Linked DNA regions of Elephas maximus indicus. Each later gene encodes a partner of the first gene's protein in a complex. Links are inferred from orthologs where the notes say so. Each region holds a gene or a part of one and is shown on either strand. Other genes may lie near its edges.

Region 1 (7,816 bases):
GCTCTCTTAGAGGCAGTTTGGAAACCCTGGTGGTGCTACGGCTGCTAACCAAAGGGTCGGCAGTTCAAATCTGCCAGGTGCTCCTTGGAAACTCTATGGGGTAGTTCTACTCTGTCCTGTAGGGTCCCTGTGAGTCGGAATCGACTCGACGGCGCTGGGTTTGGTTGGTTTGGAGAAGCAGTTTGAATCCACCAGGCGCTCCTTGGAAACTCTATGGGGCAGTTCTACTCTGTCCTATAGGGTTGCTATGAGTCAGAATCGACTCGATTGGCAAGGGGTTTGGTTTGGAACCCTTATCAAGAAGCCCTGGTGGCACAGTGATTAAGAGCTGCGGCTGCAAGCCAAAAAGTTGGCAGTTTGAATCCACCAGCCGCTCCTTGGAAACCCTTTGGGGCCATTCTACTCCGCCCTACAGGGTCACTGTGAGTCAAAATTTACTCAACAGCAACAGGTTTGGTTTTGATTTAGAGCCTGTATCAAAGAGTCCTGGTAGCACAAACGGCTAAGGGCTCCCCTGCTAATCAAAAGGCTCGAATCCGCCCAGTGGCTCTTGGGGAGAAAGACCTGTCAATCCGCTCCAGTAAAGACTGCAGCCGAGAAAACCCTAGGGGGAATAGACTCAAGGGCATCTAAGGACAACAGAGCCTTTATCGCAATTTAACTTGCACTCTAGATCTTTGTGAGGCTGTCTTGTTTTCTTTACTAGGTTATAAACTCCTTTACAAAAGGAGCCCTGGTGGTGTGGTGGTTAAGAGCTCAGCTGCTAAGGAAATAGGTCAGGAGTTCAAATCCACCAGCTGCTCCTTGGAAACCTCATGGAGCAGCTCTACTCTGTAGGTTCCTATGAGGCAGAATCAACTCAACAGCAATGAGTTTAGGTTTGGTTAATGACAGAAAGCAAGTCTTACTCACTCTAGTATTTGTTTATCTTTCCTCTGACTCAGATATAATAGATGATCCATGACTACTTGTGGAATTAAAAAGTACACTGGGGATCTCACCTAATATGAAATAAACAAACATAATGAAACCAAAGATTAGTAGTGGTTACCAAAGTGGGAGGGAAGAGAAAATACGGAGTATTCTTGCTAAGAGGACATTGAGTTTTTGTTAATTTCCAATAATTTGGAAAAGGATAGCAAGAATGATTTTACACATTGAGTGTATGTTAACGGTGGTAGAATAATTTGGAAAAGGATAGTGAGAATGGTTTTACAACTCTAAGGATGTAGTCAGTGTCACGTAGAAATTGTTGAGTTGGCCTGTGTGTCGTGTGTTTTTTCACCACCCATGCACACACACAAAACAGCATCGTAGGAGCAGACAAATCAGGTTATTCCAAGACGTTAAACTTCTTCCTGCATGTAAAGTTAACACTTTCGACAAGTGTGTTCATTATTGAACTAATATTTAATGAAAGTAGTCTAAGTAGTCACATTGCATTGGGCAAATCTGCTGCAAAAGACCTCTTCAAAGTGTTAAAAAGCAAAGAGGTCACTCTAAGGACTAAGGTGCACCTGATCCAACCCATGGAATTTTCAATCACCTCATATGCATGTGAAAGCTGGACAATGAATAAGTAAGATTGAAGAATTGATGCATTTGAGTTATGGTGTTGGCAAAGAATATTGAATATACCAGGGGCTGCCAGAAAAACAAATCTGTCTTGGAAGATGTATAGCCAGTCTGGTGAGACTTGGTCTCATTTACTTTGGACATATTATCAGGAAGGACCAGTCCCTGGAGAAGGACATCATGCTTGGTAGAGTACAGGGTCAGTGAAAAAGAGGAAGACCCTGAACAAGATGGACTGACACAGTGGCTGCAACAATGGGATCAAGCCTCTAGTTCTTGGGACTTGAGCTAGCAGCTTACCTGTGGCTTTGCCTGCTGATCTTGGGATGTGTTGAAGTTCACAGCCTATGAGCAAGAGCCCTGCTCTCTGACCTGCCAGTCTTGGGTTTGCCAGCCCCTGCGGCAGCTGCGTGAATCAGGAAGAGCCTCTATCCTGATCCATTTGGGACATTCCAGCTTCTCCAATCGCATAAGCCATTTCCTTGATGTAAGTCTCTCTCTCTCTATATGTAAATACATTTATATGCTTTACTGGTTTTGTTTCTCTAGGGAACTGAGCCTAAGACAGCAGGGGAAGCTGGAGGTTGGCTAACTAGAAGTAGGGCATCTTATATGATTGATTTGGGGAGCATATTTGGCTTTCTCGAGTTGGTTCTGGGTTGGGGCAGGGGATAGGGAAGTTGGTAGCCTTTGGGCAAGTCCTGAACATTCTGTGGCAATTGCTGCAGAGGTTGTGGTTTGGCTTGTTATGTGGGTCAGAGTTCTATTATCCTCTATGATCCAGTTGTTGTGCATTTGTATATTCTGTCTCACTCATTAATGAGGAAACCAGCAGAGTGACAGAATTAATTCCATGAAGACATGAGACACTGGGATTTATATAACTATTGGGGAAAAGAACGGTGAAATACAATTGCTACATTAATACAAAACTTGCTAATGTTTCTCGGGACAATGCAATTTTAAATTCTGAGATTATTTTTTCGTCTTGGATTCCTTCCCATTATTCCATAACACCTTACTAGTTGTCTGCCTGTTGACCTCAGATTTGCTGCCCTGGAGACCTATGTCTAACAGAATAAAACGTTGCCTGGTTCTGCGCTATCTTCCTGATCACTGGTATGTCTGAGTCAGTTGTGGCCGTTGGGTCAATCCATCACATGAGGGTTTCCCTCGTTTCCACTTTACCAAATATGATGTCCTTTTCTAGTGATCGGTCTCTTTCAATGACTGTCCAAGGTAAGCAAGTTGAAGTCCCACCATCCTCACTTCTAAGGAGCATTCTGGCTGTATTTTTCCTAAAACCGATTTGTTCATTCTTCTGGTAGTCTGTGGTATATTCAATATTCTTTGTTAACACCGCCATTTGAATATATCTATTCTTCTGTTTTTCTTTTTTATTGTCCGTCTTTCCTATGCCTGTGAAGCAACTGAAAAGACTGTTGGTTGGGTCAGGTGCAACTGAGTCATCAAAACGACATCTTTGTTTTTAAAACTTGAAAGAGGTCTTTTGCAGTACAATACTATCCTCATTTCCGAAATGAGAAAACTTAGGTACAGGTCGAGTAACTTGAGGAGTAACCAGTACTAAGTAATTAAACACAATTAAACTACAGCTACAGAGTAGTTGAAGGAGCCCTAGTGGTACAGTGGGTAAAGCTGCCGGTCTGCTAATCGAAAGCGTTACCACAAATCGCGGGTCCGAGCAGCCTGCCGCAAAGCCAATACTCAGACAGGAGGAGGTAAGCAGTAAGAGGGCTTTACTGAATACCGGTATTCAAGAGACCCAAACCAAAAACCCAAACCCACTGCCGTCGTCGATTCTGACTCATAGCGACCCTATAGGACAGAGTAGAACTGCCCCATAGAGTTTCCAAGGAGCGCCTGGCGGATTTGAACTGCGACCTCTTGGTTAGCAGCCATAGCACTTAATCACTACGCCACCGGGGTTTCCATTCAAGAGACAGAGGGGGCTAAATTTCTCCCAAATTCTGTCTACCCTAAAGGGTTGACGGGAGAGTTTTATATGGGGAAGATCAGGGTTATCTAATCTTTTGAGCATGTAGTCCACAGATGGTCTTATACGTCACAAAACAACCACAAAAAAACTATTCAACTAAAGATATGCATGTCAGGCATCCAGACTCTCATCAGTATATTTGTAACAGGCTGAAAAACTCACGTAACAATCTCTTGGCTAGTGGAACTGTTTTGCCAAGTCCACTGTGGCTGAGATAGGGAGCGAAAAAAAAAAGCTGCAGATTAAAAATGCCAGAGAGCCTTCCTATGGGTTTGCAGGCTGAAGGCCATCTCTCAAGAGAACAAAAAGAAGAAAGACCAAGGCCACAGGAGCTGAGATAGCTCCGCACCCCTTTGGAAGAGATGGGTACATCTGGTGCAATAAAAAAATGTTGAGAGATTACTTAGAGCATCCTTAGGGCGTTAGTTATGTCAAGCTCTCCATCACCTATTTTGAATAGGGGGAAACCTGTTTGTAAGGTATCATGTTTTAAGAGTGGAACAGGCTGCTCAGCTATATTTTGAACAGAGCCTGCACCATTTTCCAAGGACTAGAGATTAATCACAGCTTATACAGCTATACTAAAACAAATAAGAACATATATTCTCTCTAATATTAAAACACTAAAGAAAATGAATTTTTGCTACTTCAAAAGGTCAGAGGTTTGAAGCCACCAGCAGCTCCGCTAGAAAAAAATATGGCATTCCGCTTCCCTAGAGATTGAGAGCCTTGGAAACCCTATGGGGTCACTGAGTTGGAATCTACAGGATGGCAGTGGTTTAGTTTTGGGTACAGAGTAGTTGAGCTCTGGCCAACTGGGCCTGTTCTCTCACTTGTGAAAGAGGCAGCCATTTGAGGTAAATTCACAAATTTCTGAATTTTGTGTAGACACTCAATAGCTGGCGCCCCTACTCTGGGTTCAACAGATTCCAGAGCACGATGAGAGTAGCAACCAGAAGCTTTAGTTTGCCACAAAGCAAAGGGGTCCTCCATCTTCCTTTGCGCCGCCCGCTCACGCTCCCCCACGCCCCCTCAGTCCCGCCCTCGGTTCCGCCCCGCCCCCTCCCTCCCCAGCCCGCCCTCTGGTTGTCATGGGGATCCGGGACGCCCGAGCCTGCTTGTTACCCTCCCGCGGTACCCCTGGCGAGGGGGCGAGGTCACGTGACGACGCATGCGCGTTCTCGGCCTCGAAGGCGCCGCGGTGGCTGCCGGGACTCGGCTCCTAGCAGCCAGATCAGGAAGTGGCGGGCGGAGCCCGGGGCCGAGTCGCCGCCTCAGTAGCCGCTGCCGCCGCGGCCGGTGGGGAGACCTCGACCTGGCGTGCGTGCGAGCAGGCGGGGGTGCTGACGGCGAGCAGGAAGAGGCGGCGGCTCCGGCGTGGGCGGCGGGCCCTGGCGGAGGCGCGGGGAGGCGGCGGCGGGTCGCGCGGGGCGGCTCTACTGGCTGAGGTAGGGGCCGCGGCCGCCGGCTGGGGGGCGCTGAGCCTGGGCTGTTGTTCCTCGGACGGGGACGCGCCACCTCCTCCCGCGGGGCCGAGCGTGGCTTCCAGCCCCGGAAGGCTGGGCTGTGGCTCTCCCGGCCGAGCACTGCAAGGGTGTAACAGTTCCGTGGGAGCTTTGTCTTTGAGGCCGGAGCGTTCATTGAGCAAACTTCTGGGTTGGCAGGAGGGAAGATGCACCGTCGGAAAGCTGAGAAGTCTCTTCCTCCCCCACGTTCCCATGGGCGGTAGCTGAGGGAACCGCGTGTGGAGTTTCGGGAACCACAGTGTGCCGACAGGTACCTCAAGGCTGTGATTTAGACACTCACCCACGGACTGTTTTTTTTTTTAAGCTGGCTTTTGGAGACTTAGTTTGTAATGATCCTTAAACTTAGTCATACAGTTATAGTTGTTTTCTGCGTAGTTTAAAGACGTTTTCCAAAAACGATACTGCGGTACCTTTTTCAGCCTACTCTCTGCTTCTGTGTGTTTTCTCAGCCTGCCGGCTGTTGGTAGCAGTGTTGTTAGATGCCAGTGACACCTCTGAGGCTTAGTCAGGGAAAGGAGGAAAAGTAGAAAGGCTAAATAAAAGAGGCGACTGGTGTGGTGGCAAGAACGTGGCTTTTGGAGGCAGAAGATTTTGGTTTAGTTTTGGCTTCTTAAAATCCATCCTTGGAGGAAGGCGCCAGCTCCCTGAACCGGTGTGGTGAGTCTGTGTGGTGGTTTTTAATGTAACTGGGGATGGTGATGTGTGCTGTCTACTGTAACACAGTTCAGCATAGGGATGGGAAACTCAATAGGAATGTTGAGAAGTCTTCTGAGAAAAGAGGAAAAGCTAGCTAGAGCATGCAGTGGTGAAAACGGGAGATACTAGTAAGCCTTCTGCTCTAGGTGCCATTCATTGATCGTCAGCAGTACCACACAGGTGGCCTTTGTTGCAGAGGCCTTAAGCAGTGTTTCCCATCCGGTGTGAGGAGCACTTGACCGGTAGTCAGGATATTTGTGGTTTTAGCCCTAGTTCTCCCAGCTGTGTGACTGTAACCATACAGCTTCACTTCAGATTTCACATCTTAAAATAGGAGTGAAACTAATACCTTATTATCTCATAGTGTTGTGAGGATCAAATACTGTATTTAGGTCTTTTTAAACTCTAAGGCTTTCTTTGAATTTGTGTTTAAATCATTAGGAAAATCCCAGATTAATTACTTATCTAAACAAGGGGAAATAAACTGATACAAATGCTTCCCGTTTTAGAGTTTACAGTCTTCTGTTGCCCCCCACCATGTCACTTGTGAATTCTCATTGCTCGTTCTTGGTATCACACTTTGCCTTGCCCCAAGACACTCTACCTTCCTTACTCCGGTGTGATCATTTTGTTATTTCTTGTCAAACCCGTCTCAAAATAGTAATACTGAAATGATAACATATTTGTATAGTGTGGTGCTTTACTATTTAAAAAATCGCTTTAATGACTCTTTTTGTTTTTTACAGTTGAGCTAGATGTAGACACTGTTGGTAGTATCTTCATTTTACTTATCATGATGTTGCTTATTGGGAGAATAAGCAACATCATGATAAACAGGTTGTGAGGACTTTTGTTTTCTTCGTAGAGGTGTAATTCATACTGAAGTCTGTAGCCTTTGATCATCATCGGTAAGCGCTTAAACGTCTCTTCCCTTTCAGCAAGCAAGGTTGTGTCATCTGCATATCTCAGATTGTTAATGAGTCTTCCTCTAATCCTGATGCCCCGTTCTTCTTCACATAGTTGAGCTTCTTGGATTATTTGCTAAGAATACAGATTGAATAAGTATGGTGAAAGGATACAACCGTGATGTACACCTTTCCTGATTTTAAACCATGTAGTATCTCCTTGTTCCATTTGAACAGCTGCCTCTTGGTCTATGTACAGGTTCCTCATGAGCACAATTAAGTGTTCTGGAATTCCCATTCTTTGCAATGTTATCCATAATTTGTTATGATCCACACAGTCGAATGCCTTTGCATAGAGAATAAAACACAGGTAAACATCTTCATGGTATTCTCTGTTTACAGCCAAGATTCATTTGCTATCAGCATTAATACCCCTGCTTCCATGTCCTCTTCCGAATCTGGCTTAATTTCTGGCAGCTCCCTATTGATGTACTGCTGCAATTGCTTTTTAATTATCTTCAGCAAATTTTTACTTGTGTGTGACATTAATGATACTGTTTGATAATTTCTGCATTTTGTTGGATCACTTTTCTTTGGTTTGGACACAAATATGAATCTCTTCCAGTTGGTTGGCAAGGTAGCTGTCTTCCAGATTTCTTGGCACGGACAAGTGAGCACCTCCAGCACCGCATCTGCTTGTTGAAACATCTCAGTTTGTATTCCACCGATTCCTGGAGTCTTGTTTTTCGCCATGCCTTCAGTACAGCTTGGACTTCTTCCTTCAGTACTATGAGTTCTTGATCATATGCTACCTCCTGAAATGGTTGAACATCAACCAATTCTTTTTGGTACAGTGACTCTGTATTCCTTCCATCTTCTTTTGATGCTTCCTGAGTTGTTCAGTATTTTCGCCATAGAATCCTTCAGTATTGCAACTCAAGGCTGGAGTTTTTTCTTCAGATCTTTCAGGTTGAGAAGTTCCAAGCTTTTGGTTTTCTAACTCCAAGTCTTTGCATATTTCATTGTAATACTTTATCTTCTTGACCCACCCTTTGAAAACTTCTGTTCAGCTCTTTTACTTCATCTTTTTTTTG
Region 2 (6,937 bases), on another chromosome or scaffold:
GAAGGGTGAGAGGCTGGAACCAAGGGGCGCCTACCCTTCTAACCTACCTTGCCCATGGGTGGCTCTAATGGCGTCCACCTCTTCCAGCCCAGCCCAGCCCAGCCCAGCCCAGCCCAACTGGTTCTCACTGCGGCACCCAGTGCAACGGTTCTGTCCATATTCCAGGAGTTCTGGGGAAGTCCGAGGGGAGGAGGGGCCCCTCCGGGGCTCAGGCCCTCCCAAGCGGATCCGAGCAGCTTCTTCTTTGGCAAAGGCCCCAAGGTCCTGAGTGTATCGGCCATACATCTGGAGCAATGGAGAAGGTGGGACATTAGCAGATGTGGGCTGTGTGGGGAGTGATCCTGGGGCCTCACATCCCCTCTTCCCAGCCTCCACATTGCATAGCTCCTCTTGAGCCCACAGTTCCCACTCTGGCTTGAGGTGTGGGAACAATGCACACTCAGGCTGTGAGGGCTGTCTTGGCTGGAGCGATGGGGACAGCCAAGGTACACAGCTCTGGGGGTGGCAGAATAATCAGTCCCCTTCTCACAGGCCTTGGGGGTGGGGCACTTTGGGGGAGTAGGAGGGAAGGCCCCAGAGGAGGAAAAGACTGAAAAACCTAAGGCACAGAGTCTGAAAGTGGGAGGAGGGAAGGTCAGGGAATAAGGGATGGTCAAGGGCTTAAGGTCAACGATAACGGCCTCATGGAGCTGGGGGCAGCTCAGAGTTGGGCCTAGGAACATGCGGGGCCCCAATCCTTATCACGTTCTTGCTGGGCCTCTGGCCTGTGACTGACTCTGCTGCACCCTCCCACCCCCCTTAATCCCCTTGTCCCTATTCCCCACCCCAACCCCCACCAGCCTGTCAGCCAGCTGCTCTCAGGATGGGTGGAGAGTGTTTGGTGGCCTCAGCCCCATTCTGGAGCTGCCCTGAGCCCAGTGGCGGTTTGGGGGACACCAGAGCTGCTGGTGGCTGGGCTGTTACTGGATGCTGGGGCGATGGGACAGGACAAGGGAAAGTCGGAGAGTTGCCGCGCCAGAGCCATGGCTAGACCTGCCAAACTAGGCATGTGTCGGGGGGGTGGGGAGGAGTAGATTCTGGCAGCCACTCGCCCAGCTTCGGGACACAAAGGGCTCCTGTTGGGGCTGGGGTGGGGAGGGGAGAGGGAGGGAAAGATAGAGACAGAGAGGGTGAGAGACAGAGAGCTAGGAGAGGAAGGCGAAGCACACAGCAAAGAAAGAGGAGAAAGCAGGAAAAGAAAGGTGAGAAGAAGGGATGGAGAAGAGAAAGGAGACAGGAATGGGGAGGAAGCACGGAGGAGAACAGAGAGAAAGCTGCTCATAAAGAGGCAGATAGAGTAGGAGGTGGGAATCAGTATGTGAGAGAAAGACAAAGGAATCAGGAGCAGAAGGGGGAGAGGCTGGAGAGAGAATACCCGGGGAGAGCATTTGACCCTCAGCGCTAGCTCATTCCAGAGGTGGAGGGGGGGAAGCCTGAGGAGGTGGAGACGTGGCTGGAGACAGACTCCATTTCAGAAGCAGGTGCCCAGTTGGCCTCCGCCTTGACCACTGTCCCTATCAGCCTGAGCAGATTGAAACCTCTTGCCCTATCCCGACGTCTCATTCCCTTCCCCTCACTCCAGCACCACTCCTGCCACCTCCCCCTGCCATCCTGTTTTATATAGTGACTCTCCTAACTGGGCACCTCCCAGCCTGAGTTACAGCCTAGCCCCCCTTCTCCCTGAGATGTTCCCTTCCTGCCACCTTCCTGGGCAAATTCCAGGCCAAGCAGATGAAGAGACTATTGCCTTCCCTGGGGCTTGGTCCCCTGCCCCAGTGACAATGAGAGGCAAATGCCTTCTCACACACTAAATGACAGTGGAGGCCATGAGTCAGCTCAGAGCCCCAGGACCCCTGCTTCTAATGAGGTCAAGGGACACCCTGGGGGAAGGTGGGGACTGGATACCTAGAGTCAGCATGGACAAAAGTCCCAATTCCCAGACCCAAAGCGCCTGTCCCCCAAGGTGGCAGGCCACCTTTTTTTTTTTCTTTTTCCAGAGTGGGCAGAAGGGTTCCTGCTAATGCTGGTTTGCAAAGCCTCAGGGGTAGGGCTGGGGCTGGGTTTGGGTCTGATTATGTCCCAACACCCCCTTGTCTCTGTCACCGTGCCATGCACATAGTGGGAACACAAGGGCTGTCTTGGACAGTGGGGACACTGGGAGAGAAAGTTCAAGCGTGTGAGTGGTCATGAGGGGCGGAGTGAAGGCGCTGAGGCTTGGGCTTAGGTGGTGAGGGGAAGGAGGAAGAAAACGTGTGTGTCTGTGTGTGTGTCGTGAAAGAAAGGCACCTGGGACAAGTACCTGGTATCCTTGTCTTCTTCAGGCCCCCAGCCTCGGCCAGAAACCTGCAAGCAGCTTTCGGCCCCTTTGGCCCTTCAGCTTCTTAGACCCCCGAGCCTCAGTTTCCCCAGCTGAGAAGGTTGGGTGGGGTTCAGGTAGGCCCCGCTCCCAGCGCTTCCGAGGGTAACGTGGAGCCGCGGTCCTGGAGCGCACGCTCGTGGCCGGGCACCGCTTCACTCACCAGGGTCTGCTCGTACTGCAGCGCCCGCGGCTCCATCCCTGCCTCTGCCGCCACCGCCCCGGCCGCCATCTCCGCGCACTGCCCTCTCGTCTGCCGCTGAAGCTCGGGCTCCGGCCGGCACTCGGCTCCTGGTCCGCAGAGCTCGCTCCGGACCCGGACCCGGACCCGGCCCGCAGCCCGAGCTGCCGAGCGCAGAGTGCAGCAGGTCCCGAGCGGGCGCCGTGAGCGCAGCCTCCCGCTCTTGTACTCTCCCCGGCGGGCGGGCCGAGGGCGGTGTTCTCTGCGCGCTCCGCCCGCCCGCCCATCCTGAGGGGCCGGCCCAGCCCGGCCGGGGTCTGCTTTGGGGCCACTTCCAGGCTCCGAGAGGCGGCAGGGGGCGCTGGGGCCTAGCGAGAACGCGTCCCCTTCCCGCCGAGGCCGGGGACAGAGACGGCGCCCGGGGCCACGGCGGGGGCGGGTCCGTTGGCCTGTGGAGAGGCCGGCGGGGTACGCTGCTCCTTGGGCCAGGGACGCCGGAGCTCAGTCGAGCTCGGGGTCCGGGGCTGCAGAGCCGTCTAAATCGGACTCTTGGGGCTCAACTCTTTTCTCTGGAGCGGCACCCTCTCTCTCCTCGGTAGGGGCAAGCGGCTGAGACGGGCCGGGAGCGGCCTCTCTGCGCCGCCGGGGGTGAGAGCAAAGCTGCGGGGACTCGGAGAGGAATTCTGGGCCCAGAAGGGGCGGGGACAGGAGGATGCTAGTTGCTGAGACCCTCGGTCTCTTTTTCCCTTCCTCCGGGCTTCCCCAGGGAGGTGCACCTGGAGGAACCTGGCCTGGGGTTGTGCGGGGGTGGAGGTGGGGAGGGGAGAGGCGAGGCCCGAGGGAAGGGAGGTCTGGGCGCCTGAGAGGCCACTCCTGGGAGGCGGGCGTGTAGGGGCAGAGGTTGCTTCTCCTTGGCAGGGCCCAAGGAGAAATCCGAGTTGCTGCTGATGTCTCGCTGCCACGGGGGAACGGCTTGCTGGGGCTCTGCGTTCCCTATCAGAGTTCGGGGAAGGATAGGGCAGAGGGTGGGGTGAGCACAGACTGGATGGGCAGCGTCAGGGGTAGGGTAGCTAGAGCGGAGACGGCAGTGCCCAGGAAACGGGCAGAGATAGTGTGCGTGTGTGTGTGGTGAAGGGGCACGTGGAGGCAGAGGCGGTTCGCGGGGGGAGGGGGCACTGCCCAGGAAACTGGAAGAGCTGGTATCTGAAGGGGTGGCCAGTGCCAGAATGAGTGTCCAGAGGGACAGGGCAGTGGTGGAGGAATGGGCAGTACCAGGCTGCGGGGGCTAGTGCCAGGCTGAGGCGGGGTGTAGGGAAGGGAGCAGGGCCCAGGGAACAAGGGCCGTGGGGGGCGGACGCTGTGCCGGAGGAGAGGGCACGGCGGGCTTTCCTCTTCCCCATAGTGACATCTTGGCAAATTCCCAAAATGGACGGATCCGGCTCGGGTGACATCCAGCAGGGCCAAGCCGGCCTGGGGCCGGGGGGCCTCAGGGCCAGCTGGAGTGGCTGGGCACTGCGCCCTGCCCCGCTCCTACGCTGAGGCCGGGGCTCTGCTCTGCCCGTCCCAGCCCGGACTGTGTCCTCGGCGGGCACGCGGACCGAAAGGGTAGGGCTAGGGCCGGGCTTCTCTGGGCCAAGGATCAAGGTCCTAGCCTGGGATAGGCCCCATGCATTACATTCTTGAGGACCCCGCCTCTGAAGAGGGCGCATTGGAGCCCCTGAGCGCGAGAATCCGTGCCACTTCGACCGGAGGCGGGATCTATTGCGTTCCCGCCCAGGGGCGGAATCACCTGGACCCGAGACCCGCCCTCAGTACAGAAGCGTCTCGGCTGCAATCACTCGGGGCGGAAGTTAACATACCCCGAGAGGGAGGTGGCGGAAGTGGGGCCGGTACTGCAAGCCCTTGCGCGTGTGCTGTCCCGCTACCTCCCGGCCGCTCTCTGGGCGCTCTCCCTTTGCCTTGGCTTCTAACCCACGCGAGGGGTTGTGTGTATTCCCCCCCGCCGTCTCGGTCGCGCGCTCAGCACCCTTCAGCGCCCCCCTCACTATGGCAGGCATCCTGTTTGAAGATATTTTCGATGTGAAAGACATTGACCCAGAGGGGAAGAAATTTGACCGAGGTACGTAAGGTCTGTAGGGGCGGTTTGGGGGAAAGGGGTCACGCCTCCGGGCCCCACGTCGTCCAGCTTACGTGGCCTGCCCCTACCTGCAGGCCCTGATGTTGGGACCTCCTTCAGGAAACGTTTATAGACGAGAAGACTGAGACTTGGAGCTTTCCCTGTTTCACACATGCTGTGCCCAGTGGCTGGGTGGCTTTTTGTCCTGGTCCTGGCAAACTCCGGGGCGTCTTTCGTAATAACAGTCGCCACCTACTCCGTAAGACACGACTGTGCACCCTACACACCCCTTGTCTTAATTGCTCCTCTCAACAGTCCCCATGAGGTGTGGGATGCCTTCCCCGTTTTGCTCTGAGAGGTTCAGTAGCCCGCCCAAGGCTGAACAGCGAATGATCTGACGTCAGAGCCTGTAATTTTGTATTGCCTTTGGAGATCCTGGAGGTCCAGTGGGTAAGAGCTACAGCTGTTAACCAAAAGTTCGGCAGTTGGAATCCACCGTATACACTCCTTGGAAACCCTTTGGAGCAGTTCTACTCGGTCCTATAGGGTCGCTATGAGTTGGAATGGACTCAAGGGCAAAGCTTTTTTTTTTTTTTTTAACTCTTTAAGAAGCAGTCTCTGAGTTAGGATTAACTCACGTTAATTCTTTATTCTGTCATTGATCAATAATCGTTTCTCCCCCATGTCCCTTCCTTTGCCTGGAGACTGAGATGTGCTTTCAGGCAGATACTGGTTCTTAAACATCCTGATAAGCCCCTCAATGTAAGGCTTAGCACAGAAAGACTAAACTTTTGGGTGGTTGTTTCTTGCTAAAACAAACAAGCAAACAAAAAAAACCATTGCCCTGGTGTGGATTCTGACTCATAGTGACCCTGTAGGACAGAGTAGAACTGCCCCATTGAGTTTCCAAGGTGCTGCTGGTGGATTTGAACTGCAGACCTTTAACCTGGATATTATTCCCTACCAGAGTACCTTTCTGGTTTTCTCTCCCCCCCCCTTTTTTTTTAGTAATACTTTATTTTATATTTGATGATGGTTTACACAGTTTACTACATTCCCATTTGACAATTTCTATATAAATTGTTCCGTGATGTTAGTCATGTTTGGGCATTCTGTTCCCTTGAAACGGTTTTCCTTTTTGCATATGTAGTTCTGATTGAGTTTGCCCTTATATAAGCGTAGGTGAGAGACTGGTAGATGCAGGCTGGTTAGATTGAGTGTTCTGTTACGTGTAATCCCCAAAGCGAGGTCTGCCCTGGACCTGGCAGTTCCCTTTGCCACTCTTTCTCTCTTCCTGCCAGTGTCTCGACTGCATTGTGAGAGTGAATCATTCAAGATGGATCTCATCTTAGACGTGAACATTCAGATTTACCCCGTCGACTTGGGTACGTGCCGAACACAGACCATAGCAAGGGGCTTTTTGCCATTTCACTTGTCTTCACCTTCAGATGTTGCCATTATTTTCAGGTGACAAGTTCCGGTTGGTCATAGCCAGTACCTTGTATGAAGACGGTACACTGGATGATGGTGAATACAACCCCACAGATGACCGGCCTTCCAGGTGAGAGTGGAGGAGAGAATGCTTGAAATATACGTGGAAGACTTAAGCAGAGAAGCGGTATAGAAAGATTCTTATTTAATTATTGGAATAAGTGATTATTAACAGAATCTGAGTAATAAGGAATGTGCTACACTTAATTAATTCAGACAACTGGGCATTTGTCGACAGGCATGATTACAAGCTTCTGAGTTGCAGTTCTTTGAAGGCCCAGGGACTAACCACTGAGTGACCTAGGTTATGTGGACCTTGTGTCTTGGGAGGGAGCTTGGTGTGTGGCAAGGCTTTGGAGCGCCACTGAGTTCAAATTTCAGCTCCACCTCTAATTTGCTGAGTAACCTCCTTGAGCCTGAGTTTTCTCATCAGTAAAATAGAGATGGTCAGGTCCAGGTCATAATGTTGCCAAGGACTAGACGGCATCGTAGTTGTAAAGGGCCTGTTTTTAAAATACTGGCACTTACTTACCAGTTGCCATTTTTAAAGGGCCTTTTGTTGTTCATTACTGTCCATTAAGAATAACTGCCACTGTTATTCCACAGGGCTGACCAATTCGAGTATGTAATGTATGGGAAGGTGTATAGGATTGAGGGCGATGAAACTTCTACGGAAGCAGCAACACGCCTGTAAGTTCTGTGGTCTCGTGAGAATCCTTTTTCCCCCCTCCCTGTTCTGAGAAGTGGGGCCGTG

Evidence for each region.
Region 2: GTF2E2 (region 1) and POLR2H share a complex: the UniProt entries of both Homo sapiens proteins name them as parts of the TBP-based Pol II pre-initiation complex. The link is inferred for Elephas maximus indicus from reciprocal best matches to the Homo sapiens genes GTF2E2 and POLR2H.

What each region holds. Positions count from the first base shown.
Region 1 is NC_064840.1:69,553,458-69,561,273, forward strand, and holds the start of GTF2E2 (transcription initiation factor IIE subunit beta), read left to right. Parts: upstream 1-4,812; 5' UTR 4,813-5,043; intron 5,044-5,052; exon of another isoform or gene 5,053-5,259; 5' UTR 5,260-5,371; intron 5,372-7,816. UniProt on the Homo sapiens protein: Recruits TFIIH to the initiation complex and stimulates the RNA polymerase II C-terminal domain kinase and DNA-dependent ATPase activities of TFIIH. Both TFIIH and TFIIE are required for promoter clearance by RNA polymerase.
Region 2 is NC_064819.1:30,728,468-30,735,404, reverse strand, and holds the start of POLR2H (DNA-directed RNA polymerases I, II, and III subunit RPABC3), read left to right. Parts: upstream 1-3,920; 5' UTR 3,921-4,622; coding exon 4,623-4,695; intron 4,696-5,993; coding exon 5,994-6,077; intron 6,078-6,159; coding exon 6,160-6,253; intron 6,254-6,789; coding exon 6,790-6,873; intron 6,874-6,937. Other genes in the region: CLCN2 (chloride channel protein 2), read right to left, coding at 129-285, 2,559-2,627. UniProt on the Homo sapiens protein: DNA-dependent RNA polymerase catalyzes the transcription of DNA into RNA using the four ribonucleoside triphosphates as substrates.